Linked DNA regions of Schizosaccharomyces pombe. The gene in region 1 interacts genetically with each later gene. Each region holds a gene or a part of one and is shown on either strand. Other genes may lie near its edges.

What was found.
Region 2: mutations in trr1 (region 1) and ctt1 are lethal when combined (synthetic lethality), as found in Schizosaccharomyces pombe (one study listed by BioGRID).
Region 3: of trr1 (region 1) and txl1, changing one enhances a phenotype caused by changing the other (phenotypic enhancement), as found in Schizosaccharomyces pombe (one study listed by BioGRID).
Region 4: mutations in trr1 (region 1) and grx1 are lethal when combined (synthetic lethality), as found in Schizosaccharomyces pombe (one study listed by BioGRID).

The regions. Positions count from the first base shown.
Region 1 is NC_003423.3:4,186,425-4,194,673, reverse strand, and holds trr1 (thioredoxin reductase Trr1), read right to left. Parts: upstream 4,876-8,249; 5' UTR 4,708-4,875; coding exon 4,707-4,707; exon of another isoform or gene 4,408-4,706; coding exon 3,440-4,407; 3' UTR 3,226-3,439; downstream 1-3,225. Other genes in the region: U3 snoRNP protein Nop14, read left to right, coding at 517-666, 718-3,051; erg26 (3 beta-hydroxysteroid dehydrogenase/delta 5-to-4-isomerase), read left to right, coding at 5,945-6,967; SPOM_SPBC3F6.01C (serine/threonine protein phosphatase), read left to right, coding at 7,780-8,249.
Region 2 is NC_003421.2:54,044-62,332, forward strand, and holds ctt1 (catalase), read right to left. Parts: upstream 4,791-8,289; 5' UTR 4,423-4,790; coding exon 2,884-4,422; 3' UTR 2,611-2,883; downstream 1-2,610. Other genes in the region: SPOM_SPCC757.05C (peptidase family M20 protein involved in glutathione catabolism), read right to left, coding at 1-69; SPOM_SPCC757.06 (uncharacterized protein), read left to right, coding at 1,536-1,565, 1,623-1,736, 1,780-1,986; cytochrome c oxidase assembly protein Cox14, read right to left, coding at 6,385-6,447, 6,505-6,651. UniProt on the Schizosaccharomyces pombe protein: Catalyzes the degradation of hydrogen peroxide (H(2)O(2)) generated by peroxisomal oxidases to water and oxygen, thereby protecting cells from the toxic effects of hydrogen peroxide.
Region 3 is NC_003423.3:761,753-769,179, forward strand, and holds txl1 (thioredoxin-1-like protein Txl1), read right to left. Parts: upstream 5,739-7,427; 5' UTR 5,727-5,738; coding exon 5,503-5,726; intron 5,451-5,502; coding exon 4,802-5,450; 3' UTR 4,600-4,801; downstream 1-4,599. Other genes in the region: 1-phosphatidylinositol 4-kinase Stt4, read right to left, coding at 1-2,414, 2,470-2,477; ubiquitin C-terminal hydrolase Ubp10, read left to right, coding at 2,844-3,032, 3,081-3,417, 3,519-4,501; DNA repair ERCC8 family protein ckn1, read left to right, coding at 6,030-6,066, 6,117-6,264, 6,328-6,435, 6,516-6,633, 6,682-6,760, 6,805-7,427. UniProt on the Schizosaccharomyces pombe protein: Has a role in cellular detoxification of alkyl hydroperoxide.
Region 4 is NC_003424.3:4,871,089-4,878,330, reverse strand, and holds grx1 (glutaredoxin Grx1), read right to left. Parts: upstream 4,113-7,242; 5' UTR 4,063-4,112; coding exon 4,042-4,062; exon of another isoform or gene 3,948-4,041; coding exon 3,895-3,947; exon of another isoform or gene 3,727-3,894; coding exon 3,629-3,726; exon of another isoform or gene 3,561-3,628; intron 3,506-3,560; coding exon 3,372-3,505; 3' UTR 3,280-3,371; downstream 1-3,279. Other genes in the region: protein Cmc4, read right to left, coding at 1-90; ceo5 (TTC27 family TPR repeat-containing protein), read right to left, coding at 303-2,756; hit1 (HIT zinc finger domain-containing protein), read left to right, coding at 5,578-5,645, 5,759-6,155; nup37 (nucleoporin), read right to left, coding at 6,436-7,242.

The DNA.
Region 1 (8,249 bases):
GCATAGAATGAAATGAACCACACTTTTATTGTTGTTAAATTACTTACAAAGAAAAAATGTCGTGCGCGTTATATATTGCAATCGTTTGTGGACTACTGGAATCCTTTTGAATTAATTCAATTGTAGGCATAACTTTTTTAATGGTTTATATAAATACGTAAAAGTGTTTAAATGAAAGATTGATGATGCTGCTTTTCATGCACCGCGTCGAAACGCCTGACCATTTAACAATCACAAGTCAACAGTATGATTTCAAGAAGCACTTTAACAATTTACCAAAATACTTATTTTAAAATTGAATATAATATTACTGATCTGGAACGTTGCAGGACACTAGGTGGTTGATTTGTTTACAGTTCGTGAACCACCTTTATATAATTATAAAATTTATCCTTTGCCCCAAAATATAATAATGCACAGTTTACAGTATTTTAGTGTGAGTACTCACAATATTAACTTTTTATCATATACCAAACATTTTCTTCCAGAAGGTAATTTCTTCATCAAATTGCTGTTATGGGTAAAAATGGATCACAATTAAAAAATTTGAAATCGAGTATTCGCCAAGCAAACCTTGGTACTCGTCCAAATAATAAAAAGTCGAGAACTAGAAGTACTGAGTCCCATGAAGACCGACAGGCTAAAGTTCAAAAAATTCAATCAGATGTATGTTTTTGTCTTTCCAGCTTATGAGAGCAATAGCTAATTATTTTTAAGTTTAATTTATTTGACAGGCAGTTTACAAAACGGAAATTTGATGTTGGTGGTAGACGTGTAAAGGGAACTGAGGGTAAACCCGGAGTTAGTCGGGGTGTTGGAGAGGAACTTCGAAGGAGAACAATTGGGGCTGAATTGAAAAAGAGGAATCGTTCTGGAGCTATAATCGATCGACGATTTGGTGAGAACAATCCACATTTATCAGTTGAAGAGAAAATGTTAGAACGATTTAGTCGTGAACAACAGCGTCGTAGCAAAAGAGAGCTTTACAATCTAGATGCAGAAGATGTTTTGACTCATGGTAATAGGCCTTTGTCTGATATAGATTCCTTTGAAGAACCTGGATTTGGACTTGATGAAGGAGAGGAGTTAAACGATGAAGTAGTTCGTCGCATGCATTTTGGCGGATTTGAGGATTCTGATGCCGAAAATGAGAAAGAAGGTGAAGGTGCACATAAATCTAAACGTGAAGTGATGTCGGAAATTATTGCCAAGTCCAAGCATTACAAAGCTGAACGTCAAGCAGAGAAAGAAAGATATGAGGACGAAAGAGAAAAACTTGACGAACAGATGGAGGATTTGCAATCCTTTTTGTCGGATTATAAAAAAGCATCTAGGAAGTCCGGCATAAAAACACAACGACCAATAATTTCAGACGGAGATGCACGTTATGATTCATTTGTCCGTGAAATGGTTTTCGACAAACGCGCGCATCCTACTGAGCGTACTAAGACCGAAGAGGAGCTTGCTCAAATTGAAGCTGATCGTTTGCGTGAATTAGAGGACCAAAGAATTTCTAGAATGGAACATTACCAAGAAGATTCTGCTAGTGAAGCTGGTAGCATCGAAGATGAGCAAGCTACTGATAACGTATTTGGGTTTGGAAAAGGTTTAGAACAGGAAAATGAGGAGGAATGGAATGGAATAAATGAGGAAGCTGAAGAATCGGAAGATGAAGAGTCAGTAAATTCGGACACATCTTTTGTAGATGATGAACAGCTAAAAGTGGAGGAACAACCTTTAGTTGGATCGGCTATAAAAAACGAAGGCTCTGAAAAAGCGTCTTTAGCATATACGTACCCGTGTCCTACTTCTCACGTAGAGTTTGTTCAACTTCTTAAAGGCCTGGATTATAAGGATTATCCAACTGTAGTCTCTCGTATACGTACTTTGCATCATGTTAAGCTGCATCCAGATAACAAATCGCGCCTTGAAAATTTTTCTGTTATTTTATTACAACATATACTTCACTTAACTCGTCAACCTATGATTTCAATGGAGTTATTGGAGCATTTGACTGAGCATCTACACTCTTTGGCACAACAGTTTCCCAGTGCTTTAGGAATATCCTTTATTTCAGTTGTTGAAGGGATGCGCAAACGCCTAGCAAAATCTTATGTGTATCCGGAAATTAAGTTTCCTGAAATTTCTGACTTATTGTTTTTCAATCTGACTGGTTCAATCTTCCCAACTTCAGATAAAAAGCATATTGTTGTAAGTCCTGTTATGCTTACAATGGCAGAGTCTTTGTCCCAATCTCCTGCTGATTCTCTATCAGATGTTTGCAAGAAGCTGTATATTGCCAATTTATTCTTGAAGTTTCAAAGTTACAGCCACCGTTATGTTCCTGAAGTTATAACGGCAGTCTCACAGGCACTTTATTTGCTATACCCCAATTTCATATCTATAGTACCAGGAACATTTGCACTTCCTGATTCTTTGAAGGAAAAGCAAAATTTATTCGCCATTCAAGATATATCTCTCGATGAACCTCAAAGGCTAAGCCTATATGAATTAGAAGAGTTACCGACAGGGCTTCTACAGTCTTCCATTTTATTTATAACTTTAAATTTGATAGAAATGGCGATTGACATTTATTTTAAGGAGCAAGCTTTCATTGAAATATTTGTACCCATTATGGACATGTTACAATTGTACTCTTTGAAAAAGGAACTTTTGAGTAAACGTTTATCGGAAAAATTATTATCTACTTTACAGGCTGTTTCCGATTCTATTGAATCAGCTAAAGCAAACCGTAAACCATTGGCTTTACAATCTCATCGTCCTTTAGGAATTACTAGTCAAGTTCCTAAGTTTGAGGAAGGTTATTCTCTTGACAAAAGCTCCCATGATATTGATCCCGAAAGGGCTCAACTCAACAAGTTGCGTGCTCAACACCGCGATGCCAAGAAAGGAGCTATCCGCACTCTCCGCAAGGATGCCAGGTTTATTGCTAGGGAGAGAAGGCAAGAGCAACGTGCTAAGGACCAAGCCTACAATGAGAAAATGCGGAAGTTGGAAAATCGTTTGCAGCATTTTGATCCGGCTGTCTAGAGAAAGTGTGCATTTCTTTAAGTTTTTGAATTTAAATTATAAAGGGTAGTATAGGGATCATTAGGGGAAAATTTATAGGTAATTGATGATTTTAGCTTAATACTTCCAGCCAAAGTCCACTATTACTATTATATCAATAGTAAAAAAACTTATATAATTTTACATACATACCATGCGTAAACTAAGGTGTAGAAAAAGGGAAACAATCATTATTATTGCTCTTCGTGTAAAAATAACTACGAATCAAAAAGCCATGTATCTATAGTAAACAATAATTGATAAGATACTCCTAAAATTATTGGATAAACAAAAGAAAGGAAAGGAGCATACAAAATGCATATGAATACCAAAAAGGGAAAAGGGAATCAGTAACTATTCTAGATTAGTTCTAATCGGTATCTTCCAATTCTTCAAGGTAATGCATAGCCAATAAAGCTGCTTGACAACCACTTCCAGCAGAAGTGATGGCTTGGCGGAAGACCTTATCTTGAACATCACCAGCGGCAAAAAAGCCAGGAATTGAAGTACGAGGAGTTCCATTAATAGTTTTAATGTAACCGGCTTCATCAAGCTCAATTTGTTCAGCTACTAACTTAGTAGCAGGGATATGTCCAATAGCATAAAAGAGTCCGTTAACCTGAAGATCAGAGACTTCATTCGTGTTGGTATTCTTGATACGAAGGTTATTGAGCAACTTGCCATCGCCTTGGGCCTCCTCAGCAACGGTGTTCCACAAAACTTCCACCTTAGGGTTAGCCAAAAGACGCTTGGCCATAATGGGAGAAGCACGAAGCTTGTCACGGCGCACAAGGACATAAACTTTGCTACCATACTTTGTTAAAAACTGGGCCTCTTCGGCAGCAGAGTCACCACCACCAACGACAGCAAGAGGCTTGTTACGATAAATGGGAACGGCACCATCACATACAGCACAAGCAGATATACCTGCTTGCCAATAAGTATCCTCACCAGTAATGTGAAGGCGACGAGCGGAAGCACCAGTAGCCAAAATAACGCTGTCAGCGGTATGAGGCTCTTCCTCTTCAGCACCCTCCAACCAGTACTTGAAAGGGCGAGAAGAAAGATCTAATTTGGAAACAGTCTCGGTAATAATTTCAGTTCCAAAACGCAAAGATTGAGCGCGGAAGTTTTCAGTAAGGGTAGTACCATTGATACCATCGGGAAAACCAGGAAAGTTTTCGACATCGGTGGTAGTAGTAAGCTGACCACCAGCAGCAATACCGTTGGCAAGCATACCTTCGTACATTACGGGCTTAAGCTCACCACGGGCGAGATAGATGGCTGCAGTATGGCCGGCGGGACCAGACCCAATAATAACAACCTTGTTGTGAGTCACTAATGAAGTCAGTAAAATTAAAAAAACAAAACAAAAAAAGATAAACGTTAATGTTGTAAGGCGAGAAGGATAGAAAAGCTGAAAGAACACAAGATAACCATTATCGAACAATGATAAAAAAACAGATGAAACCCAATCTTACACGTGAGTTCGGAAATAAAAAAGTTTCCTACTAATCAACAAAAAAAAAGAAAAAAATTCATCACCGAATTAGTTTTATTTTTAGGTAATAATTTTTTTTTTGTTGGGTTCGACTTCATCGCCGTCACATTTCCTGCACGTTTTTCGTTTCACTTACTATTGATATGAGTATTTGTAGAGAAATATGTTTGTTTTAAAGGGGAATAAATAGATCCTAACTTCAAAGATTTCTTAAAAGAATCGGGTATGCCTTTATAGAAGCTAAATTTCTGATAAGGAAAGAATGTCCTGAAGTATCGAAGGAATGCGATATGGTGGTAGTGGGTAAATTGATTCTTATATAGAGCCCTGGGAAATGGTGTGCTTACTAGCGATGAATAATGAGACTCGTTCGAGACATTCGTAAAAGTGCGAACGCTTAGATTAACAGTGGCAGAACGAGACACCGATATCGCGTAAGCAAATTTAATGCCAACATGGTAGAAGAGGGTATAGGAATGTCGAGAATTAGTGAGGCCACGATAAATGGACGAACCACCAAAGCCATGAGTAAGCGACGCTTTGTACATGAAAGACGACTGACCTATGCTAGTACAATAGAAAGAACTCGACAAGAAAAATCCACGTTTTTGTTAGTTAAGAGTTTAAGCCTCCACAATCCAAACAAATTGTCAAAGAGACGCGCAGAAAGCAAAATTCTCAATGTAGCCGTGCTGGGCTACTTGCCTTACTAAGGTTTTAACCAAAAACAAGTATGATTCAAGTGCGATTGGTGTAGCCTAGAAAAAACAATTGCGAAAAGTAATTTCAAGGAAACAAATTTTAGTCGTTTACAACCCAAAAAAGAAAAATTTGCTGTTCCTGCGATCAACACTGCTTAATAATTTATTTATTAAGGTTACCAACGAGGAAAAATGTTTTACGCTGAATATTGTGATTTGATAAAAGGTATAACGATAGAATTTATAAATAATAAATTGGTTTAACGTTCAACGAAGAAAGTACGAAAATTGGGTTTTGGCTGCTATCAACATTATCGAGCTTTAAGGTAGCACGCAGCATTGCTTTACAATAGGCCAGTTTTAGATGTGAACGGTACGAGGTCGGGAGGTCATCGTTTTCTTGTAATGGTACTCGAGATGTTACTCACTTAATTTTTCTGTTTTCTAAGTGCGTACTACATATTGTACTAATAGAGTTTCAATCGGCTACTATCCTCTAACCCATGTTCCATATTCAACAGCTGCTCTCTTTCTCGCTAATCATGGTTAGTGTATTGCATCTAGCCTACACCCCAAAAACACAGGTAGCAAATAAGCTCACTCATTTCTCGATATGGTGTAACGTCGAATACCTGGCAAGAACCAGACAATCGTTTATTCTTGTATTTTTTTAATGCCGATGAATTCCGTGTTAGTTATTGGAAGTGGATTTTTAGGAGGTCATATCATACGGCAGCTGTGCGAACGTGAAAATCTTCGAATTGCTGCATTTGATCTCTTTGAAAATGAAAAGTTGCTACACGAGCTTCATGGTCAATTCACCATGTATACGGGTGATTTAACGAAACAAGGTGATATTGAGCGTGTTTTTGAGGAATTTCATCCACGCGTAGTTATTCACACTGCTTCACCTGTGCATAACCTTGCTCGTGATATTTACTTTGAAGTGAACGTAGATGGCACAGCGAATATCATCAAAGCATGCCAGAAATTTAATGTTGATGCCCTTGTTTATACTAGTTCCGCAGGTGTAGTTTTCAATGGTGCTGACCTTATCAATGTGGATGAGTCCCAGCCCATCCCAGAAGTTCATATGGATGCCTATAACGAGTCCAAAGCTTTGGCAGAAAAACAAGTCTTGGAGGCAAGTTCTGAATCTTTAAAAACTGCTGCCCTTAGAGTTGCTGGTTTATTTGGTCCAGGTGATCGCCAACTCGTCCCTGGTATGCTTTCTGTTTTAAAGAATGGACAAACCAAATTTCAATTGGGTGATAATTTGAATCTTTTTGATTTTACCTACATCGAAAACGCTGCCTATGCTCATCTTCTGGCTATGGACAATTTACTTTCTAGTAATCCTACTGCCAATGGCCAAGTCTTTTTCATTACCAATGGACAGGTTATTTACTTTTGGGACTTTGCACGTGCTATTTGGGCACATGCAGGACACGTTCCCCCTTATATCATCAAATTCCCTAGACCGGTGGGTATGCTCTTAGCCACTGCTGCTGAATGGGTTTGTTATTTCTTGAAAAAGGAACCTGGCTTTACACGTTTCCGTGTCCAATTTAGTTGTGCTAACCGTTACTTTAACATTCAAAAGGCAGAAGATGTTTTGAAGTACCATCCCATTGTGGATTTGGAGGAAGGAATTCGTCGTACTTTGGCTTGGATGGATACTGAGAAAAAACATTAAATTGAGCCATTGGCCTTGTTATTCTTTAAAAGAATATTTAATTTTTAAATTCTAACGCTTCGTAGTCTTTTTTCATTTCTACATAGTTCACTTTCTTCTCGATGAGTTCTACCTCTTGAGCATGTCGATACGAAACAGTTTTTTTCCGCTTTGGAAATTGTTAATGACTTATATCATCATTTCATTTGATAGATGATTGCTCAGATCTTAAAAAAGGAAAAAAAAATATTTGGGTATCTTGGAATATAGACAAGATCGAATAACATCAATATAACGTTCTCTTTGTACTTTCTACTCGTTGTGCTTGAGACGAGAAGGATACAGCTCGTTTGCTTTTGTTATCTTTCTTTGAACTATACGAAGATTGTCCGGTATCACTTGTGTTTAGAAAACAATGGTTATTTCCTTTACATAATGATTGCCTTGTAAGTTTTTCTCATCTGAGATGTATTGATGTATTATAAGTTTCGAGTCATTTTATTTCGTAGATAAATGAATAGACACACTTCATAGAAACTGCTTTTATTACGCTTGTAAGTTTTTGAGATTTCTAATGTAAAACATTGTGTAAATTCTGTATTTATTTTTTAATATGTATGCTGCGTTGCAAAGTTTGCATTTATAAAGCCATTAATTTGTTGTTCTAAAAATATCATTTTGATCTTTGAGAATCCTAAATATCTGTTTCTTTGTAGCCCAATACTACCAATTATTAAGCTGCATTGTTCGGACAGATAAAAACTTTTTTAGCTACTATCAACCACCAAACAAAAACTCACAAGGGCTTGAATTTGTACTTTTTGCTCAATAAAATGGCTAAAGAAGCATTGGAATTAAAAAATGAAGCCAACAAGTTTCTAAAAGAGGGACATATCGTTCAAGCTATAGATTTGTATACAAAAGCCATTGAGCTTGATTCTACAAACGCAATTCTTTACTCCAATAGATCTCTTGCACATTTAAAGTCAGAGGATTATGGTCTGGCAATCAATGATGCTTCCAAAGCTATTGAATGCGACCCCGAATATGCAAAGGCATATTTTCGTCGAGCTACTGCTCATATTGCTATTTTTCAACCCAAAGAGGCTGTCGGTGACTTCCGAAAGGCATTGGCACTAGCACCCAGTGATCCAGCTGCTCGTAAAAAGCTTCGTGAATGTGAGCAATTGGTCAAAAGGATTCGTTTTCAGGAGGCTATTCATAATACTGAACCTCCTTCACCACTTGCGAATATCAACATTGAAGACATGGACATTCCTTCTGACTATGATGGTGTAATATT
Region 2 (8,289 bases), on another chromosome or scaffold:
TACGGGTGACATCCAAAGGTGGTAGCCGATAACTATTAAAAGGCTCCAAACAGAAATTTTCATTGTCATACAATAAACGTTATTTTTGAATTTATGTACAATAGGCAGACGGTTATTGAACTCGAGCAGTAATGGGAGTGTTCATGATTTTATGGTGTAGTAGTAGCCTATCTATTATCTAACTTCCAAATTTTAAGCGACAACCCTTGGTAGGCGGTAACAATTTGATTAGGATAACTAATATAAAGAAGGATTGTTTTATGGTTGTATTAAAATATAAACGCTGAAATTAGTACTAAGTGCAGATACCAGTGCTTAAGACGCTGATTTAGTATTTGTGTTTGCCTGATTTATACATGATTTCGTTAATCAGCGTTAAGTCAGCGTCATACTGGAAGTCAGCTCAATGGAAATACTTACATTAAACATTACTATATTATACAAAGAGGAGTAAATAAATTTTGGATAGTAAAATTAAATTTAAAAAATCTCAACAGGTGATAAGAAACTGCAATGCTTGTAGCGACAAATTATGGTAATGTGCTCAGCTTTTGTATTATTGACAAAAAGTATACAGTAATAAATACACCCATAACCCTCAAACTATTGTTTACTATCAAAAGAATCTAACAGGAAAAGCTATTAAAAGTTTTTTAAGAGAAACAAGTAAAACGAGGTAAGTACAGAAAAAGGCTTTATACGCACTCAATCGTATTGAAGCAAAGTTGGAACCCTTCTGCGATCTGAAACTTGCAATGAAGTAAAGGAAAAAAGCCATACTGTCGAGACGATGTGTATAATGTCTTAAAGAATAAAACTCCGTAAAATATTAGAATATTGACGTCGGATATGTCCCCTCGGTTAACAAAACTTTAAACTTCATGAATTTAGGAATATTGCGGGGAGGGAATACATTAATAATTCAAACAATAGGAGAAAGAAATCTTTGACGGCACACTCAAGAATAAGTCATGGACTACGGACTAAAATTATCAAATTTCTCAGTAACTTAAGTTGTTTTTTCGTTCCATCATCTTACGAAGTAGATTGGTTTAAGTATAAATAGATCGATTAGATCTAGTGTCATTTAGATTTGTTTTCCAGTATTTCAAGGTATATCTTATTGCCAAATTTTACTCAAATTTTGTTAAAATTGAAGAAAAATTGGACATTTCAATTGAATGCTACTGGGCATATCCAATTTACGATTTCCCTAAGGTTCTGTAAGATCATAAAACACTTTTCTTTTGCAAACCTTCATAATTTCTATTCACTCATCTCTGGAATCATTAATTATACTCTCCCTACTAGAATCTTGTATTTGTAAGTTTGCTATTGGTTTGGCTATGTTGAGTGAAGTGCCTGCCCTTAAAATTGGGATACTTAAAATAAATTGGAAGTAACATCAGCTAAAATATTTTTTTACCTTTTATGAAGTAATAAAGTCATCGGAAATGCTTGACTATGCACATGAGAACATTGCCATAGATGATTGCTGGAAGACGAAGGAGCGTCAAGCCATCACTAATTAACTAATGGTGAATCCTGATAAAACCTCAAGAGTGGTGTGTTTTCATGGCTCAGGAAGTCCATAATTAAGTTTCAAGTTGATATTTTTCCAGTACTGTAAATATACTTGCTGTGGCTATGTAGGATCCCTCGATCATGATAAACAAGACGCTCACGTCTGCAAATTGGGTTGTCAATTATTTTACGGAGAATCTTGCTACAAAGAAGTTAGTGTCAAAAACTCTTTAATTAATTTCGGCAAAATCAAAGATGTCAAATGCCCTCAACGGAACTAGTCGTCCCATTTTTTTACTCTCAGTGCCTGCAATTGAGGTAGCACAATTACAAACTCTTGGAGAAATGTCGTTAAAATTTTTAATAAAATTAATTGTAAAGATGACTGATTGCCCACGTCAAAGCTTCAGCTGTAGTGAATTAATTACAGTTTTACCTACTGTTCAGAAATTGACATTTTAGCAACGGCTGTTCTTTAAGGACAAAAAGCTACCTCTTCTGATATTCTTGAAGTTATAAAATGGTATAAACTGCCACCAAATTCACTATGTCGGCTTTCTATGATAATTCCTCTAATTCTTCACAATGATGTTACAAATACGCCTCAAGAAGATTTCTATCATCATCAGCAAAGACGTTATATCTATAAGCCAAGACTGAATTTAAAACTATTTATGAATGCATATAGCGCTAATGATGTCGATGGAGACACTCGAGTTCTCCCAATGTTTTTTAAATAATGACAGGGTTGTTTCGAGTATGATTATTACGAGTAGTTCATGTTAATAGTTATTCGAAAATTTCATTGATAAACCGGCCAAACCTCAACTGGCTTTGAATACTAGAGACTAAAGGAATAATAACACCATGAGTGACAAATTTATTCAATATAATATTTCGGCTTGTTTTACAAAGATACAAATACTGCAAAAAACATAAATCTAATGCACATGACAACTGGCTTTAAAAGTGCTAATTTACTGTTGCTAGCTACATAAGTAATCGAATATCGTGTGTGGCTCATGAATTTGCTTTTAAGCTTTCCTAATTGATTACAAAATTTTAATCTTCCTTTCCTCATCTGGTACAGATATTAAGAAATTTACGGCAGAAGACTTGGAAAACACAATAAGCCTTAGACCTTATTTATATGTTAACCTAATATGTCAAGATTGTTTGCTTTCTTATCAATGTTATGTGCTTATTGAGGTTAAAATATATATTTCCTAATTAACATTTATCAAATTAAATAAATTTCTAACGGCATTACACATGTCTCGCATTCAAAGAATAAAATAGTAGTCATCCGATAAACCTAGCTGACTCAAATTTTTTACAAACTAATTTCGCATAAGCGCATTATGAGCTTCCTTGGAACATATGGGGTTCGCCCTTGTTAATTGGCTTGGGGGCTTTTTCTTCCATCTTCTTCACTTCAGCTTCAGTAGCCTCACGAATACGGCGACCAAGCTCTGAATCAACACGAGTAAATACACCGTATTGGCGTTCACGTACAGGAGATATAGCACCAGACAAGTGACCGGCAACGTTCTTAACAAAGTTATCTTGCTGTCCAGGTTTCTTGCCCAAAACATTTTGCCAAAACGCTCTAGGTTGCTCAAAATCAACGTCGGTAATTTCGTCCATATGGTAAGTAACTTGACCTACCCACTTTTCGTGACCTTCGTCAGGCTCATATTGAACTTTAGCAAGTGGTCGGATTGAGGATGGATAGTTTGGCCAATTTCCTTGGTTTCCATTGACATTCATAGGGCCGTCACGAGAATAGTTAAAGACAGGACACTTAGGAGAATTGACGGGAATTTGCTCGAAATTAGCACCCAAACGATGGCGGTGGGTATCAGGATAGGAAAATGTACGTACTTGCAAAACAGGATCCGCTGAGACTTCAATACCAGGAACCATATGAGAAGGAGAGAACCCAGCCTGCTCGATATCTGCAAAGAAATTGGTAGGATTCTGATTCAAGGTAAAGCGTCCAACCCTTTGCATTGGTACGTCCTTATGAGGCCAGACCTTAGTAAGATCGAAAATGTTGTAGCGATATTTTTCAGCCTCCTGAGGGGTCATAACTTGAACGTAAAGCGTCCAACTGGGGTAATCACCACGTTCAATAGCTTCGAAAAGATCTTGACGAGCATGGTCGGGATTGGATCCATCCAATGCAGCGGCTTCTTCATTTGTTAAACCCTTGGTTCCTTGATTAGTAATGAAATGCCATTTGCAATAGTAGAATTCACCCTTATCATTAACAAATTTGTAGGTATGACTGGAAAAGCCATCCATGAAACGGTAGCTATAAGGGGTACCACCCAAGTCAGAGAAAAGAATCATAACTTGATGGATGGACTCTGCGTTTTGAGAAAGGTAATCCCAAAACATAGTAGCATCCTTCATATCATTTTGAGGGTTACGCTTCTGAGTATGGATGAAGAGAGGGAATTTAGCGGGATCACGAAGGAAGAAGACAGGGGTATTGTTTCCAACCATATCGAAAATACCTTCATCGGTGTAGAACTTTAATGCGAACCCACGAGGATCACGAGCAGTATCAGGAGTACCCCTTTCACCACCGACGGTGGAGAAACGAGCAACCATAGGGGTTTTCTTACCAACCTTAGAAAACATGGTATGTTTGGTATACTTGGTAATGTCGTCGGTGCATTCGAATTCACCAAAAGCACCGGAACCCTTTGCATGGACGACACGTTCAGGAATACGCTCGCGATCAAAGTGTTGAAAGACGTCGATTAAATGGGAATCTTGAAGTAAGACAGGACCTCCCTTACCCACACGAGCCGCAGCCATAGGGTTAAAAATGGGACAACCGGTGTTGGTGGTGTAAACAGGGACGGTATTTGAGTCTTTCGAGTTCATTTCGCTGATGTTTGAATCCTTAGACTGAGAAGATGCAAATCTGTTAAAGAGTAGCTTATTATTGTTAATCTTGGAATTAGTTGAACGACGAGCAAATGATTTTAAACTAGCTTGTCTACCAAGACAGTAACGTTCAAAGATGCGAAAAGCCGACACTTTGAAGAGTTAGGAGGGGAAAAAAAAAGACAGTCAAAAAATTGTGTTTTTTTAAAAAATTAGTGTCGAGTCTTTAACTAAATCACTCAAGACACAACCACAATTTCTATAATTCGATATTCGAACAAGGGAATTACAATCACACACACACAAAGAAGAACTTATAGTATTCTTCTATTCAAAAGCTATTACTTTTACGTGAAAAGCTGTATATTCAAGCAACTTGCAATTGCCTCTATATATATTGTCTGGTGTAGAATTACCAACGTCATATTTGCACAATAGGAAAACTCTTACCAACGCAAATGGCCGAGATTCCATTGGCTTAGTGAGCCAAAGAGCATCATTATTAGCGAAGCTACAATGACAAATTAACTTCTTCTACAGCCTATCGTAGTCGCCAAAATCCACCCTTCAGCCAATGTTTACGATGCGCTCATACCGTTACTTGGCCATATCAAATCTCCCAACACCATCGCTAACGTAAGCGGGCAAATCCCATCGTTAGCGATTAGTAAAACCAGCGTTTCTAGACACAGACGCTGACATGAAATTCTACTGCAAGTCGATATAGAGGAGAAAGATGCTTAATAAAATTAAAAGCTAGACTTTTCAGTCGCAAACTTGTGCTGGACATGCACCCTTTGGAACCAGTGTTTTTGGTAGATTAGCAGAGTATAGTGTGTTTCCTGGGGAAGTAAATAAAACAGATGTATGGTAAAATAGGATATGCAAGCATGTAGATTTTGGCCTGTATTCATGCGGTTTGTTTAGCTTGAAGAATTGATTTCACAAAAGTATGGTTTAATTTCAAATGATGTCGGGTTGATGTGCTAAGATCGGGAAATGGGTGAGTGAGAAAAGGAAGTTATGGTAATTTTATGATCGATTAGTTTGGAAACGTGTTTTATGGGCGCATTGTATATTTCTTAAATTATAAATTTTTTCTATTCTATATTAACTGAACTGAGAAAGTGGATTCATTGTGCACAGCTTCCCGTAGAGGTATAATGTGCACAAATCGGAAGTATGACTAGGAGAGTGAAATAGATAAGGAGGTTACTGAAATTAGAATACTTTCGTCCAATATACTTAGGAGTGCAAGTCTAAGGTCGAAGAAAGGCTGGAAGTGAAACAAGTCCCTTGCTTACAAAAAAAAAAAAATGGGAGATGCAAACAATCTAAGGACCGACAAACCGTAGGTATGGACGGCGTGTAAAGGCAATCCGTAGGAATGTGTGAAATAGAATATGATACGTTTAATAAAAGTCCTTCTTTTCCTCTACATCACAAATTTCAAGCAAAACGAAGTAATAATAATAAGGAATTTTTTCTTTCGTTGGTCTGACTAATTTTTTAGGTTCGATATAAACACTACGATTTCCATGCATGTTTTAATTCAGCGGATGAAGATATAACCCATACGTTGTTGTTTCCCATCGCTCACTCTACATTCGCTTAAATAAACTACTACCATTTGACTCGTCAAACAAAGATTGAAGGTGGTATTCACAAGCTTGTTTTATGTTGAATTCAATTTTTAGTTGGTAAAAGTACTTTAAGCATAAATGCCATTAACTGCTGTTCATGAAAGAGGGGACGTTATAGGTGGCAGAATTAAATTTCACTATATAGAGAACTATAGTGTTTTTTGGTCATCATCAGTAAGTGCAGAAACAGCATCAACTTAGTAAACAAAATAGTTACTTAGATTTCGCTTTATTCTTTATTTCCCTCTCCAAGACTTCACAAAGTCCTCGAAAATTCACGATGCTGATAGCTTCAGCTTTTCAGCACCATTTTTTCTTACTTGAGGGCGAGTTGATTAAATTCATCCTCTGCAAATCCTTCTTCTTTTATCTTTTCTCTCTAGAACGTTTGAAAAATTAGTTACACACGTCCAATTCCCTTAGTTGGAATTCATACCTGTTGAAACTCTTGCAATGCTGCTAAACGCCGTTGCCTATGAGAATAATAAGATTGGCCAAGAAGAACAGTGCCTCCAACAGTGCCGAAAATTAGAATCGATACCGATCCCTTTTGTACAATGTCGTAAATTCGATTTCTGTTCATAACACTGACCTAGTAGTTGTTAGTAGTCGTGTTTGTCAGTTTACCACATTACACAGCCTAATCGCTTCAGTAAACTTACTGAGTTTTCTTTATAATTTAATATGTTGTTAATGATTATTAGCACTGATGGAATGTGCTCTTAAAAGGTCACCTTTAGTGGCAAAGCTCTTTACAGTTGGGTTTTGTAGAAATGAGGCCTTCCCATATTCTACCGGCTTTCCGAGCTGTACCATGACGTTCTTTAAAATGATTAACAGGAGGTTTGAAAGTAGTGCTAAATTACGTTAAAACTCAACATGATTAATTCATTCGTCTAGTCATCACTGCTCGGCTCACTAATATCGTTGGTAAGTAATAAAGCGATAAAGGGATCGAATTATTATTTTAAAAAGTATTCCGGTGGGTGATACTATTCATTCATTATTAGAAATAAATCGCAAGCGTTTGTTGTAAATGAAGGTGTCTCAGTTATTTCCTGGATAATAAAAGTTGAATCTCAAATTTTTTTCATCTCAATACTTAAAAAATAAATCTTGTTACTGAGTGTCATAGTCGCTACATAGGATTCATAAACTGCAACTTTTATTTATCTTTTTCTAAGCACATTAGCTTTAAACGGATCCGTCTGCCGCCTTGAGTAAATCAGCCAAAGATTTATAAAGCCAAATTATTTGGCCTTAATCAATGTATCGAGTCAAGTCTAGATGTAGCCTGTTCAGTAACGAATTTGACCCCATTTTTCCAAGAGAAAAAAACGGCCGGCATTTACAGAGTACAACATATGAGGTACCAAAGAAGAAATGTAAAGTTTAAATGAAATAATTCAATGATGAAAATGATCCAATATGACGAAAAAAAGTTTCTATACTATTGAAATTGAAGAAAAGAAAGCAGGCAAATTTTACGTGTTGAAGTATGTATACGTCTACCTTTATAGAGGATTACACAAACGTTTACTTTGGATTTCATTTTCAATTATTTTCAATTTTCTTGATCATTTTTGGTCACTTTTGTCAATTCTGAAATACGTTTGCTCTTCATATACTTATTGTTGATGTACTAAGTAGCTGAGCATTTCGGTAAGTCAAGCAAGAGCAAAACTGAAATTGACGAAATAAAAACTGTCTCTTATTAGTAGGAATAGAAATAGAAATAAATGACTCACAAAGCCTTAAGAAAATTTGTTTTAAAATCTTATGAACTATTAAATTTCAAAGGTTTTGTTTATTTTCATAATCGTCGATTGGTGTTCCTGGTATCGATATTAAAACAGCAACTAGTTCCTTTTCATATCACGGTCTAGCTAATTCTCGAATTGCTTCTTTTTGAATGTTCTTCTAGGATTTACTCTTGCTTGTGGTAAGATTGCAACAAATGACAATGAGCAGTAGTAAATATAGTACAGTGCAGATATTGCTTTTCAAATTAAAATTTAGGTGAACCTCAAACATGATTTCATTTATGGCATGAAATTGATGGTTACATTTCATACAATTATCAGAGATATTAAAGTAACACTAAGCAGTTCATTTCGGTAAGTTTTCGATCATCTTTATTATCAAGATAACCGAAACAACCTTAGTAGCTGCGTCAATACACTCACTACTCAGTGACAAAACAAAATTTTTAGGAAAATTA
Region 3 (7,427 bases), 3.4 Mb from region 1:
CCAAAGCCAATTGTCGTACACAATCAACTCTATTACAACAAAGACACAACAGTTTTTGAAATTCGTCGATAGTAGAAGAAGCAACTCTTCTTTCTTTGGACAATGATTCAACGAAAGATGTTAAGTTATATAGGGCAATAGCACGAATAGATTGGGGGAGTTGACTGTCTCTCAAAGATGGATCAAGCAAGTATTCTACAAGCGCAGAAAGCTTATTCGATTTGCAACGCAAAGATTCAAGTAAAAGGACAGCAGACAAGAAGCAAATTTCTGAAGTACTCAAAGGCTTAAGATCAATGTTAGGGACCCTGACTAACAACTCTGATTTAATCTGAGAAATGACTGAATGCTCAATATGAGTCCTGAGGACTGTGTTTAGTTCCAAATTGCTCTCAAAATTGCTACCAAAATCCTCAAAAACAAGAAGGGGAGAATTTTTGGCAATATTTTCAAGGTCAACTTCTAGTGTTTCACCTAAATCAACTGAATAACGGAAACGATTTATGACTAAAGTAAACCACATGTCACGGAACAGTGCAGGATACATTTCTTCCTTGGGCAAACTGCTCCAATCAGTACCTGCAACACACTCGACTAAAGCCTGGACGGCTTTAGACATGCCAAAATAATATCCTTTCAGTTCAGGGGCAGGTGTATCACGAACGATACCTATATGGATAATCTCCTCTAGAAGACTTTTCAACAAATCTGACCTCTTGAAAGAGTTAGATTCCGTACCTCTAGCGATCAAACAGCGGGAATCACAAATAGCAATTGTCAGAGCTTCATCACCGTTCTTCACGAGCATTTTGTTTTGAATAGAATAAAACTGAACCAATATTGAAAAGTCACGATCATTAGCTTTAGTGGATATATCTGCTAGTGTTCTCACTAATTCAGTACTCACCCTCGAGTCGAATTTTCTTGAGAACTTTTGTATCAACAAAGAAATAGCTAATCCATAAATTTTCTCATCGTTAACTGTCAAAGCAATTTCACGAACAGAATCTATAACATTCAAATAGTTTGAAATTGTATTTACCGTTGCAGTTTGTGAAGAAGAACTAGACATATTGTCACTAATAGAAAGGCGTTCTTTTGGAGCTGCAAGATAACTATCAGGAGTGTCAGCAGGAGACAGCAAGTTGGCAAACTGGTATATTGAAGTGATAGCAGTATCTCTTGAGGAATAGTTGAAAAGTTGAGCAAGCTTTCTAGAGGCTAATTGAGCATAAGTCACATTACCATCATCAAAGCGGGGGGCATAAATAGCGATTAAACGCAATCTTTTCATAGCAAACTGAAAATGAGTGGGGAAAACACAGGCCAACGAAGCCATAAGTTCAATTAAATGAGGTAAGAGCTCCGGATCTTCAGATATGGAACCTAACAACACATTAATCCAATCACTATATGTGTATGGAACAAAACCAATGTAGGAGGAGGATAGAAGTGCCAATTTTAGTACGAGTACAAAAAATAAATTGCATGAAGTACCCAACTTCTCTTGAAGTCTCAAGGTCCCAGTTTTTGACAAAAACTTATCACTAAGGTTTAAGATGCTTTGGAATTGCGTTAAAAACGGCTTCTCCTCCGGAGAAGAAGGGCGATGTTTCACAATATCCCAAAATGAGGTAGCATCTTCATACCAAAGGCAACCAGAAGAATTGATGTATGCTTTCATAGATGAAAGGTAAAGGTAATAGCTCAACCCAAACCCAGCATAGTAATTGGAATGGTGAAGAAAAGAATCATTATGAAGGTCTATTAATTTACACGGAAGGTCTGAGACGAGTATCGTGTTACAAACCTCCATTGCCCATAAACACGCGTCTTGCGGCAAAGCTGATATGCAAGCATCGGCTATTTCTTCAAAAAAGAAACCAAGGTGGGAGGCATAAAACACTTTCTCAAAGATTGTCGTTTTAGTATGAGTTGGATTATTATTTGACGAATGAGGAGTATTTAGAATACGAGTTAGTGCCAAAAAAATGCTATTCAAAAACTTCACTATATCGGAAGATAATTCTCTATGCTGCCTGACAAGCGCTAAAAGCGCCTTAAGAATACATGGGCAAATATTCGCAGTCAGTGGTAAAAGATTAGGATAGACAGATTCATCAAGTGAGCATAAAACACTTTTGTACTCCGAGGTATCTTCCAAAAATAGATAATTCAGCAAGTAAAAGCGAAGCTGTTGGAACAAAGTCAAGGCATTTTCAGAGGCTTTGTTTTCCAAAGTAACTTCACAAATTGACAAGACAGTGTCCTCAATTCTTTGGGCCTTAAATAGCTTAGAATCTGCTTCAAGCAATTTTGAGTAACGATTACTTGATTGTACGAACAGATTCCAACCGTGATCGGGAAGGCAGCCAAGTTTTCGTAAAGATTCCCTTCTGATTGATTTATCGATGCTAATAATAATTAGTAGACTGTGCATTCGAAAGGGGAAAAAATAAAACCACTTACCAATCCATAATATTTGGCAGGGGATTACAAGGGTAATGTAAATCTAATCAAAAAGGATTAAAAATAAGTTATAATTTTGATGGGATAGATTCTATCAACCAAATGAAATGAAAGTTACGGAAGAATCTACTAATAACCGCTTTCGGCTTTAGAAGCAGAGAACCAGGTCTAAATGTGAAATCTCCGGCTTGAAATAGTATTTAGATATCCCTTTAATACATTAAATATGAAAATAAGAAAGAGAAAGCTAGTAAAAGTAGAAAATGACTTGAAAGAGCGTGATCTGCTGTTGACTTAGACGAGTGCAATTATGTGGAAGATACTTCCATACGACTTAGTAACTGAAGTTATCGATAGATGGTAAAGCTTCAAAAATGTCAGAAAATAAGGATAAAAATAATATTTTAAAACGCCATATTGAAGAAGATAATAATATTGATAATGGAAAACGCAAAAAACTCGAATTGGGTAAAGACATGGAAGATGTTCATGATATTGCGTCTAAAGAGATGGAAGAACACGAAACAACTCCAATAATATCACAAAACCTATATTTGGACACTGTAAGAGTGATTTTGCTGCATTTTTGTTCTATAATTAACGCTAATTAGATCAATCGTAAATTGTTAGATTTTGATTTTGAAAAGGTTTGCTCCGTTTCCTTGACAAATCTTAGTGTATATGCTTGCTTAGTCTGTGGAAGATATTTCCAGGGTCGTGGACCTTCATCACATGCTTATTTCCATGCACTCACCGAAAATCATCATGTTTTTGTAAATTGCTCAACATTAAAGTTTTATGTCTTGCCGGAATCTTATCAAGTAGAATCCAGCGCTTTACAAGATATTGCCTATGTGATGCGACCTACTTTTACGAAACTAGAAGTCCAAAGACTAGATCACACACCACAGCTCAGTTACGATTTAATGCTCAAACCCTATGTTCCAGGTAAGTATCGTGGGGAATTGTTTTGTTTTCTTTTATAAAGCTTACTATGAAAAAGTGATAGGATTCATTTTATTTAATGGTTTAAGTTCTAACACTTGTAGGTTTTGTTGGCATGAACAATATAAAAAATAACGATTACTTTAATGTGGTGATTCATATGTTGGCCCATGTTAAGCCATTTCGAAATTATTTTTTGCTTAAAAACTTTGATAATTGCCCTCAACTTGTCCAAAGATTGGCAATCCTTATTCGTAAACTTTGGAACCATAAAGCATTCAAGAGCCATGTCTCTCCTCAAGAACTCATTCAGGAGGTTACAGTTCTTTCTCACAAAAAATATTCTATTAATGAACAAAAAGATCCAGTAGAATTCCTTTCCTGGTTTTTAAATACTTTACACAATTGCCTTGGTGGAAAAAAGTCGACCATAGCAAAACCTACTTCTATTGTACATTACAGCTTTCAAGGATTTGTACGTATTGAATCACAGAAAATTCGCCAACATGCTGAAAAGGGAGAGCAAGTTGTGTTTACTGGTGATAGGGTTATACAAACTAACGTCGTCCCTTTTCTTTACCTTACTCTTGATTTACCTCCGAAACCCATATTCCAAGATGAGTTTGAAGGTAATATCATCCCACAAGTAGAATTAAAAGAGATACTTAACAAATATAATGGGGTACATACCCAAGAACTTGCAGGTATGCGACGGCGTTTTCATTTAATGACGGCTCCTCCATACTTTATATTTCACATCAAAAGATTTATGAAAAACAATTACTTTACGGAAAGAAACCAAACTATAGTGACATTTCCTTTGGATGATTTTGATATGAGCCCATTTATTGATGACTCATTTATCCAGTCAAATCCGAAAATCTCTACGAAATACAACCTCGTTGCTAATATTATACATGAGTCCGTGACACATGCTGAAGAAGAATTTCATAACTTCCGAATTCAAATTCGAAACCCCTCTACCAATAAATGGTATCAAATTCAAGACTTATATGTTGAAGAAATCAGTAGCGATATGATTCGTTTAGGCGAAAGTTTTATTCAGCTTTGGGAAAGGTCATCATAGTGTTAATATGTGGAATTTTTGGATTTCTCACAAAATTTCCTCTACGTGAGACAAAATTAAAAAACATTCATTTTATTTATCAAACGTTACCGCTTAGAAAATCTTTATTCTATATAAATTAGATTATCCATTTATATTCCCATTTCGTGAGTAGTCAGCAATTACAATGCTCAAATGAAAGGTTTGTAGTATTCTTTGGTATCAAGACACCAGATTGGTCGAGTAATGTATACGAAACTAGATTTTCATAAAGGTAAATTCGTAAACCGTCATGATTTTAGTTAACAAATTGTTAAGCACCTAAGCTTCGACCTTTTGTAGTTTTCCTTTACTTGAATCACCAACAGGCTCACCAAATAATTCTAAGCGAGAAATCTTAGTAGTTTCTTCTTCTCCGACATTCGAATAAATAAAAATAACGAGAGAATTGACACGTTGAAATTTAACAAAACGAAGGGGAATAATTGTAGGTTGATCGTCTTGTTCGTAAACTATATCCTCAATGACTTGAGTTGGAGTAAATGACTCAGCATCTTCAAAAGAAAGATTGTTGGGCTGATTGATGTACAATTTGATGGTTTTTGGAGCACTCGAAGTTTCTCCCTTAACAGGAGTAATTGCAATAGAATGAACCTTTACCACTTCAAGAAAAGGTATGTATATCATTAATTGCTCGTCAACATCCGACTCTAAAAATGAGGAAGGATTACTGTTAAATGCACTTTTCAAATCGTGATCATCTTGTTGATTTAGACATTCCAATTGGGGATTTTCAATGCAGCCTTGCAAGCTAGCAAAACCCTTGACAGGTGCCGATGACGAAGAAGCAAGAGCGCCAGTTCCTGTGGCTTTTGAGGAAATCAAAGCAACTTTTTCCTTCAAAGCTTGTGGGTTTGCTCCAGTTAGCATATCAATTTGTTTGCCATTTTCAAAGAAAACAAATGTAGGCCTAAAATGTTAGCAAAACCAATGGTACAGTGACGGATTAGGTAAACACATACATTGCTTTGACGCCAAGCCCGGAGGCAATTTGACGTTGCTCGTCTACATTTACTTTAGCAAAAACGAATTTGGGGCTAGCATATTTCGATGCTAATTGTGAAAATAAGGGAGAAATTGCTTTGCAAGGACCACACCAATCGGCATAGCAATCAACTGCAAGATATCCGGACTTAGGGATCGTTGAGATCCAGTGCTGGTACGATCTAATTTCAATAACTGACATATGGTTGAGGTTGAGTTCTATAAACCGTCTGCCAATACCATCTCGTACACCACGACCGTTATTAGTAGTGCGTCTAGCCAACGTCGAAAAACATATTTTTTTATTATTGTTTCCTGGAAACTACCTTTGAGTTTGCTATTTAAACATAGAAGTTGATTAATTGACAGTATTATTTACCGCTCATATTAAACTAGCTGTAATTTTATTTAGACTTAATTTGTTATACATGGTTTAAAAACCGGGTTGTTTTAAGCTGTCAGTTGCTTACTGTAGCATCTGAGTCTATTTCTTAGGTGAAATCGAATGAATTCTTTTTTATTGGCACGAGAATGGGGCCAAGGTAATGCAATTGATTATGTGATATAAGGATTTCAAGTCTCACATTTGTAGAGCCAAATAGCTCTTTTCGAAGGCAACTACTGCAGCATCGTCTTCAACGGTTAGCGCTGAATCCGGATGTGAAAATTAAACGTAGACACGGTGCGGGCATTTTAGGATCCGTAAATGCACTAAGCATTGATAATACAATTCATCAGCTGTATGACCTATATCGTTGATTTATCAAAGCTTTCAATTTTTGGTTAACAATTTCTATTGACAGCATGGTCTCTGGAGGAGCCAACTCGTCTATCAATGTTTGGGACCTACAAAATATTGACCAAAAGGAAGATGAAGATTTAATTTTGGATACCTTAAATGCAGTTCCTGCGTAAGCATTCATTTTCTACCTAGTTTATGACAATTTCAATATATACACTAGTGATCAATAGCTAACTTGCGGTGTTTTAGTCGAACGAGTCATAAGTTTGGAATAACAGATTTGCATTGGTTTCCGTTTGATAATGGTATTTTTACTAGCTCGTCGTTCGATCATACGCTCAAGGTTTGGGATGTTTCTACTTTACAGGTAATAAAAGTAGAAATCGCAAATTAACCAATGTTCTAATATTGGTAGGAAGCTTACACTTTTACTATGGAGGACATGATTTATTCACATGCATGGTCGCCCATTGCATCACATTGTTTAATTGCCAGTACGTTATATTCTTCATTCTTGAGATTGTTCATCTAACGATAGCCGCCTACCGGTCTTCGTCTATTCGGCTTTGTGATATGCAAAGTGGTAGTTATACTCATAGTTTGTCTGGACACACGGGTAATGTCCTTGCGGTGGATTGGTGTCCTAAGAATGAATTCGTGTTAGCGTCCGGCTCTGCAGATGGCACTTGCAGACTTTGGGACATTCGTAAAGTATCATCCAGCTTCGCATGTATGGATCTACATAATAAGTATTTACCCAGTAACCAGACAAATATATCTCATTACGGCACCGTTAATGGATTAGCTTGGACTTCAGATGCTCGATATTTGGCAAGTTGTGGTACCGACGATCGAATAAGAGTATGGAATATGGAAAGTGGAAGAAACACATTGAGAGAATTTGGACCTATTATTCATAACCAGACTACTTCCTTCGCGGTACATCCTTGCATGATCCAACCCTCTATGGATTCAGATGTTTTTGTGTTATTCCCCAACGATGATGGGTCTCTTGCCTTATTGAACTTGTTAGAAGGCTCGTTTGTGCGCCGACTTTCAACCCACAGTTTAAAACGTATTAATTGTGCTGCCTATCGTCCTGACTTTGAACAGTGTTTTACTGGTGATATGAATGGGAACATTTACATGTGGTCTCCTAAA
Region 4 (7,242 bases), on another chromosome or scaffold:
ATTTACGAACTTTTCACAATTCCCTTGATTATATTGATTTCGTTGAATACAGCTTTGTAAATTACAGGCCTCTTTTTGGCAGTCGACCATTGTTAATGGCAGTGGTAAAAAAGATTACGTTTGAATCAAGGACAAACAACTTGAAATAAAGAAAGTTGGTTACCGCTCATTATTTTACTCTTTAGAAATTTTACAATAAAAGAACTCGAATTTTAATATAAATTTATTTTCCAGAAATGAATATGTTTGTCCAAAAAAAGATTGTTTTTTTAGAATGTAAATTAAGTTTCACCGAATTTCAATTACTTCAAATTTTCTAGTTCAGACTCCAACTTCTGATAAGATTCCGTATTTTCCCAAATGTTTTTTCCTTTCCCTATCAAAGAACGCAAGACGCTCCTTGATTTAAATTTCCAATCCTTAGCGACCACACCACCCATTCTTCCTGGCATTTCACCTAAATTAGCGTAAGCTTCTACGAGTTCCAAAGCTCCCTCAACAGTCTTATTCCAAGTTGCTTCATCTGAGGTTACATTTGGGCTTGAAATTAGTATTCGATATGCTTTTAATGTTGCATTCAAAGACTCGGCAAAATGCCTTCTCCATAAGTAATATCGAGCGACGATTCTCCATAAACGAACATCGTTTGTAATTAAAGGAACAACCATTTTTAATAGCTCGTTCAGCATCCTAGCAAGACCTGATGCGTCATTGTCGCAAGATTGCATAACATAATTTACTACCAAATCTAAACATTGAACATCCACAGCACGCTCACCCTCATCTTTTCCTTTTATTTCAATAATTCTTCTAAGAGCACGAATTACTTCAGACCATTTGTTAACATCAACCGAAATAAGCATATAGTTCTCCCAAATACGCCAATTATCATACATGTATTTAATTCCTTGTTGCATCGCATGCCATGCTTGTTCTTTGGTATGATCTTTTGCTTTTAACATAGCACTAGCAAGATTATTCCAACTCTCTCCATCTTCGGGGTTAATCGACAAACATCTGCTAAAAGCCTCCATGGCAGCGTCATATTTTTGCAACTCCAAAGCAGCACACCCATAAGTAAACCAGGTAGGATAAGACAAGGGATTTATTTTCAGTGATTCATTAAAACAATTCATAGCCTGCAATAGGTCACCTTTTTTGTAATAATATTTACCCAAGGACCGTTGAGCCGGAGCAAATCTTTTACAGGATAACTCCCATGCTTCAACATAATGTTTTGGATTGTTTTCAATATCTCCGAGTAGAGTACGAAGTAAAAAATCATATGGATCATTTTCCAATTCTCGCTTTATTACTTGAACGGCCAGATCTTGACGATTAAGTGAACAATGGCACATCACAACACAATCCCACATTTGTAAACGTTCAAAAATTTCGAGGGCTGATTTGGTGGCACCAACAGAGATGAACCTTTCAGCCAATTCAGCTTCTAACTGCCATCTAGATGGCATCAGCAAATTATAAAAGTAATTGAGACGTTCTTTCAACGAGGCAGAGTTTTCTCCATCTTGCGGTTTTGGAAGGAAAGATCCCAAACCTTCATCGTTCTCTGGTTTATCTACACCTTCAGGTGATTTACCAAAACTCAATTGATCGTTAAGTTGATCTAACAATGCTTGCATTTGAAGAACACTACGTTCAACAGTTCGACTTTTAAACCCCTCGAGACGAGCACGTACAAGCAAAGCCATTGTATAGACAGACCAATTAACAGGATAAACCAAAACGCGCTCTGCGTAAGGCGCCATTTCTTCACGCGTAAGTCCATCATCAGGATTGTTATTCTTTATGATATGGCAAAATGCAAGTAATAGAGATGCGTCCAATGGATCAAGTTTCGAGGGATGATTGGGATCTTCGGATGACAAAATCGGATCAAGTTCTTCAGAAGGAGCCAATGATTTTTGATCTTCTTTAAAGGAGATTTTCTCCAAAAGAGTATCATCATTTAACTCAAATGTTATCGGTTGAGTGCTAGTTGATTTGTTCTGCTCGGTATCTTTGCATCGGTCTCTAGACTTTGCTAAAACAACTAGCTGCGAAGTATCAAACGTTTGGAATTTTGTGCGTCGACCAAGAGCACCAGTTAATTCAAAATGAAAGTCCATTACTTTTGCTGATTCCTTCATCAACTGCAGAGCTAAAGTATCACGACCGTAATAAGATTGTATGAGGCCCATTTCCATAGTAAACCGCCCTTGTAAATCTCGATCTAGTGAAGAAACATGACTACTCACGATATGCATGCCTTCCATTATTTGATTAAACAACTCTGAAACGTGCTCTTTAAGCATTTGTTGGTGCAAAAAATCAAGGCGAGCTTTATACCATATGTGCAAAGGATCTTTGCTATTTGCGTAGTTAAATAAAGTCTGCGAAAGTAAAAGAAATAAAAGTTTTGGTGCAAGTCGATAAGGCCTTTCTCCTTCCACAGTTAAACTTTTTATAATGGCATCCTTTAATGTAGCCTCGTCGCGTAAACGCTGTGGAAGCCATATTTCAGGCTTAATGGGAAGATATGGTCCAGTATAATTATTCTGAATAAAATATTCCAACATCTGTATTGCAGTCTCAGCGAATTGATCACTGCTGACATTTTTCCCTAGCGGCTTTGAATCCCAATATTTGAACAAAAATTTAGGAATGTCAATACTAGGACAGAAAAACTGATCATATTCTTCTGTGCTTTTTAGAGAACCTCCAAAAAGGACCTCTTTATTTTCTATTGCTACCATTGTTTGGCAAAACTGAAAATTTTTGATTCAACAAATATATTTTCAGACAATCAACCTATTAAGCATTTATCCCGTCTAATAGTGGAATTTCTGTATTTAAAACAAAAAGGAAATCAATTCAATTCAGTAGTGAGTAAGGAAAATAGCTATTTTTTAGTTTGCTACTACAGGAATTGAAGATTGGAGTTGGGAACTCTGACTAATGTACCCAGAAATTTATAAAACCCAATTTTCAAGAATAGGTTCAGAAACTCTTCGAATTTACAGAGGTCTAATGATAAAGGATAAAAATGGCATTAATATTCCTTGATTTTGTTTTACCAGTTCAATAATTAAATTTTCAAAAATTTAAATCAGCTAGTACAAATTGTGCACAGATGAGTTACTTAATAAAGTAATCGAAAAGAGCAGTATTTCTCGAGTGATTTATTACTCAAAATAAAAGCAAAATTTATGTGCTATGTTGTAGTTAGTAGCTAGGAAAAACAGCTGCATCTAAGTTCTATCATTAGCTTTAAAATACCACAGATTTAGATTTAAGAGCTTTATAATACAGGTTTCTTCAGTTTGAGATATGTAATTTAAAGAAAAAAATTTATTGCTCATAGAATTTCATTAGGCAGTATTAAAAAGAGAGTCGAGCTCGCCCTTCTTGAATAATGCTTGGAAATCCGAGTTACCACCAACATGCTTTTGGTGAATAAAGATATTGGGTACGGTACGTTGACCGGTCTTCTTCAATAAGTAAGCTAATCAAGGAGGTTAGTATGCTTTTTTTTATACCATCCATTTTATACAGACTCAAGGTCTATTATATTATAGACAGATCTAAACTAGCATCAAGCAAAACAACAGATGCAATAAAAACTTACATTGAATCTCATCACCGTTGTTCATAAGGTCAATCTGGTATACCTGAGCCTTAATTTTCTTATCAGCGATCACCTTTTCAGTAGCATGGCAGTAAGGGCTAAAATTAAGAGTTAATATCACTGCTTAACAAAAAAAATTAAGTAGTCGGTTCTAGGCATATGGAAGTGTAATTTGTTAAAACAAAAATACAAGCGTTCAAACTATGGTAAGCCAGTGTGACAAATACACGCCCTTATGCAACGATTACTTTACTAAGCAAACGTACCAGTAAGACTTGGCAAAAACAACAACATCGTTGTCAGCAACGGCAGAGTCAACCTATACAGAAATGTTAGTACCCTGTAAAAGAACATTTTACCAAAATTCAGCGACATTGTGGTTAATCTCTGATTCTAGCCAAACGGATACGTACAAATGATTCAACACTAGACATGGTTCTAATAACGTAACAAACAAAAACCTTTAAATTTGGTGGTATGTGGTAGGCAGATATGTATTATCAGTTGTGTATTATATATATGTGCATGGTTTTCCATATTGCTAATTCATACGTCAGTGGAGCACGTATCCCTAACGTTAGAAAAGTCTAGTAGACTTATACGTTAGTAAACGGTTCAATAACCGAAAGACTAGCATATGGCAGGGAATATAATGAATTTTATGATTTTTATTATTTTTTTTTTAAAACCGCCTATAATGATTTCGTGCAGAGAATTGTACTAGTTGGATGTTTTCTGTTCTGTATGACTTGTTTATTCTAGCGACTTAGCGTGCTTTGCATTGTTATGAATAATAAGACTAAATGATTGCGATTTCGAATAGATTTCATTTATTTACAAATCTTATGAGCTCTGGCTACAACAATTAATTAATTAACGGATTTAAAGTGCATAGAAAAAAAAAGGCTAACCTATTTTTATAATTGCGTATGTTTAACTTGAATTTTCGTTATCTGTTAAGTAATAACAGTCAATCAATTGAAATAAAAATTGTGAATTGAGACCAAATATACCTTCATCGAAAAACCCTGCTTAAAATCTTTTTATTATCTATTTTAGTTTTCTGTGTCGATTTGTTACGCTAAACCATTTTTAAGCTTCTAATAAAGCAATGATATTACCTTGCTCAAAAACATTTGCTCTTGATCAACTTAAGCTATGTTGCCTACCCATTGACATGAACGTCAACAATTTAGCTAATTAGATAAACTAATGATTTACTATTTTCCTTTTTAGAAAAAAATTCTGGAAAATAGAGCTGTAAATCAATTAGCATTTTAAATACATGATTCGATGTTTCATCTGCTAACTTTAATATACGCAATTAAGTAGATATTTTTGAATAATGACTCTAAGAACGTCTCAGCATTATACAAGCATATCCTTAAAGATTTTATCAGATACTTCCTTTTATATTAAAAAATGAAAGGTTGTGATTCAAACACGTTGCTTATCATTTAAGATCGTTAGGGAGGGCTATAAACAAAAAATTGGAAACTGAGGATACTTTACAACAGCGCTTTGATCCTTCCCAAAGAAAGATTCATAATTTATTTCCTTTAAATAAGTACTTTTTTTAAAAAGCTTAAACTATTTACGACTAAGTCACTAAAATTCGTAACCAGAAAATCATTAAAAAGCTTTATATAGTGAGGGGTAACGATAAGTAAATCCACCATGCTAATCTAAAAAAATGTACTCGCTAGAGATGCAGAGATAGTTTATATTGAGAATATTCAAAAAAATATTATTTTACTGTTTACCATAGCTTTCGAACATATCACAAAAGAGGGAAAAACCAGAGCCTTTTTATTCAGTGTTAACTGTATTTTGAACTAGCAAGGTTTGACGTTACTCTATTGCTCTTCTCCCTTTAATCTTATTTTGTTTGAGCTTGTCTAAAAAAAAAGGTTTCTCCTCTAATACATTAGAAAAATTTAAACGCTATCATGACAACTTGTTCAATATGCAACGAATCAGAAATAAAATATAAATGCCCGAAGTGTTCATTTCCTTAGTATGTGCTTGTAAGCTCAGAACAATGCATTTTGTTTCAATACACATTAACCCATGAACCAATGCTTTATTCTTTTTTTCTGTTTCCTAAAAATACTAATATAGAATTAATAGTTGTTCATTACCTTGCTGGAAAATCCACCAAAGTCAATGTGAGACTGTAAATGACAATAACACAACAACATTCAAAGGAGTTAAAGAACCTTTAAACCCCCCAGAACCTTCTCCTAATGTTATCTACGTTAATGGAAGAATCCCAAGTTTAGCAGAAGAGGCATTGCCAAGTGAAAGTCTTTTGGAATCTATTGTCGAAGATCCTAGCATAAAAAATTTAATTGAAAGTAATGCCGAGCTTTTACATATAATGAAAGAATTAGTGAACCTTGACCGTGAGGAAGAGGGTTCTGTTCCTCTGAAAACCTTAGATGCTATTCAGCAACAGCGGCTACACAATCCATCTTTCGAAAAACTGGCATCCATGATTCTGGAAAAATATTATGCTCAAAAATAATGGGTTTTATCATTGTAACGAACATTTAGAAGATTCAATTCAAATCGCATATCGGTTATTGGAAGTTGAAATATCAAAGGCGATATTTGAACCAAGGCGAATTGTTTACGAAAGCAACACATCCATTTAAAATTTTTAAAAGTAACAGCGTTTACACGATGTTAATACATAGCAAATACTACTTTTTGGTTTAACTATGAACATTAATATTTATTCAATACAATTTCCTCTCCTGAACCCGTTTATTTTAGTTCGATGTTAAGTATATTGTTCTATACCCTCATAATCTCGTAAACCCCATCAATCTGGTAAGCAAAACAGATCCTTCCGTAGCTATAGCAAGATGTGATCCATCTTGGTGCCAGCAAAAGTCAACGATGGGCATACCTAATTGAATAGGAATTGAATTCGAGTCCTTTTCATATGTATTAATGAGCTGTATTAAGCCGTGCTGAGAATGTGCCGTAGCAAAGTAATCCATGTAACGGGGATGTGGGCAAGCACCAAGCAAGGATGGGAACAATGAAATGCCTTGCACGTTGGGCAGTAGATTTTTGGGTCCCAATTTCATAGTGGAATCCGAGATTTCATTGTAATCGTTATTAGCAAAAAGATTCCAACGAAGCCAAGCCCCACTTTTACACATTGCAAGTATACCGCTTCCATCACTTCCGATCCATCGAACGTTAGCTAAAGAGGAAGCAATGCCGCTACTATGACAGGTGTTAACGAGTGGCAGGGTATTCAAAGTCAAAAGCCATGGATTTTTAACCAACTCGGTTTGAGAATTTTCTTCAGCTGATAAATTCAAAGTCCAGTCAAAAATCCTAATATTACCATTCCTTTCTCCAACAATCAATTGATTAGGATTAGATGGGCGAAATTGGACACTAATACCAGGGGAAGACAATGGGTATCCAGCTAAAATAGGCCCTTCATCAGTCAGTCTCCATATAATCAACGTACAATCGTCGCCCACAGATGCTATCACCTGCTCAGCGAGACGATTATCAGCGGAATAGACGTCTGCAATATCGATATCATTCACAAAATTATGATGCCCAGATTTTCCGCCCAACACATGTTG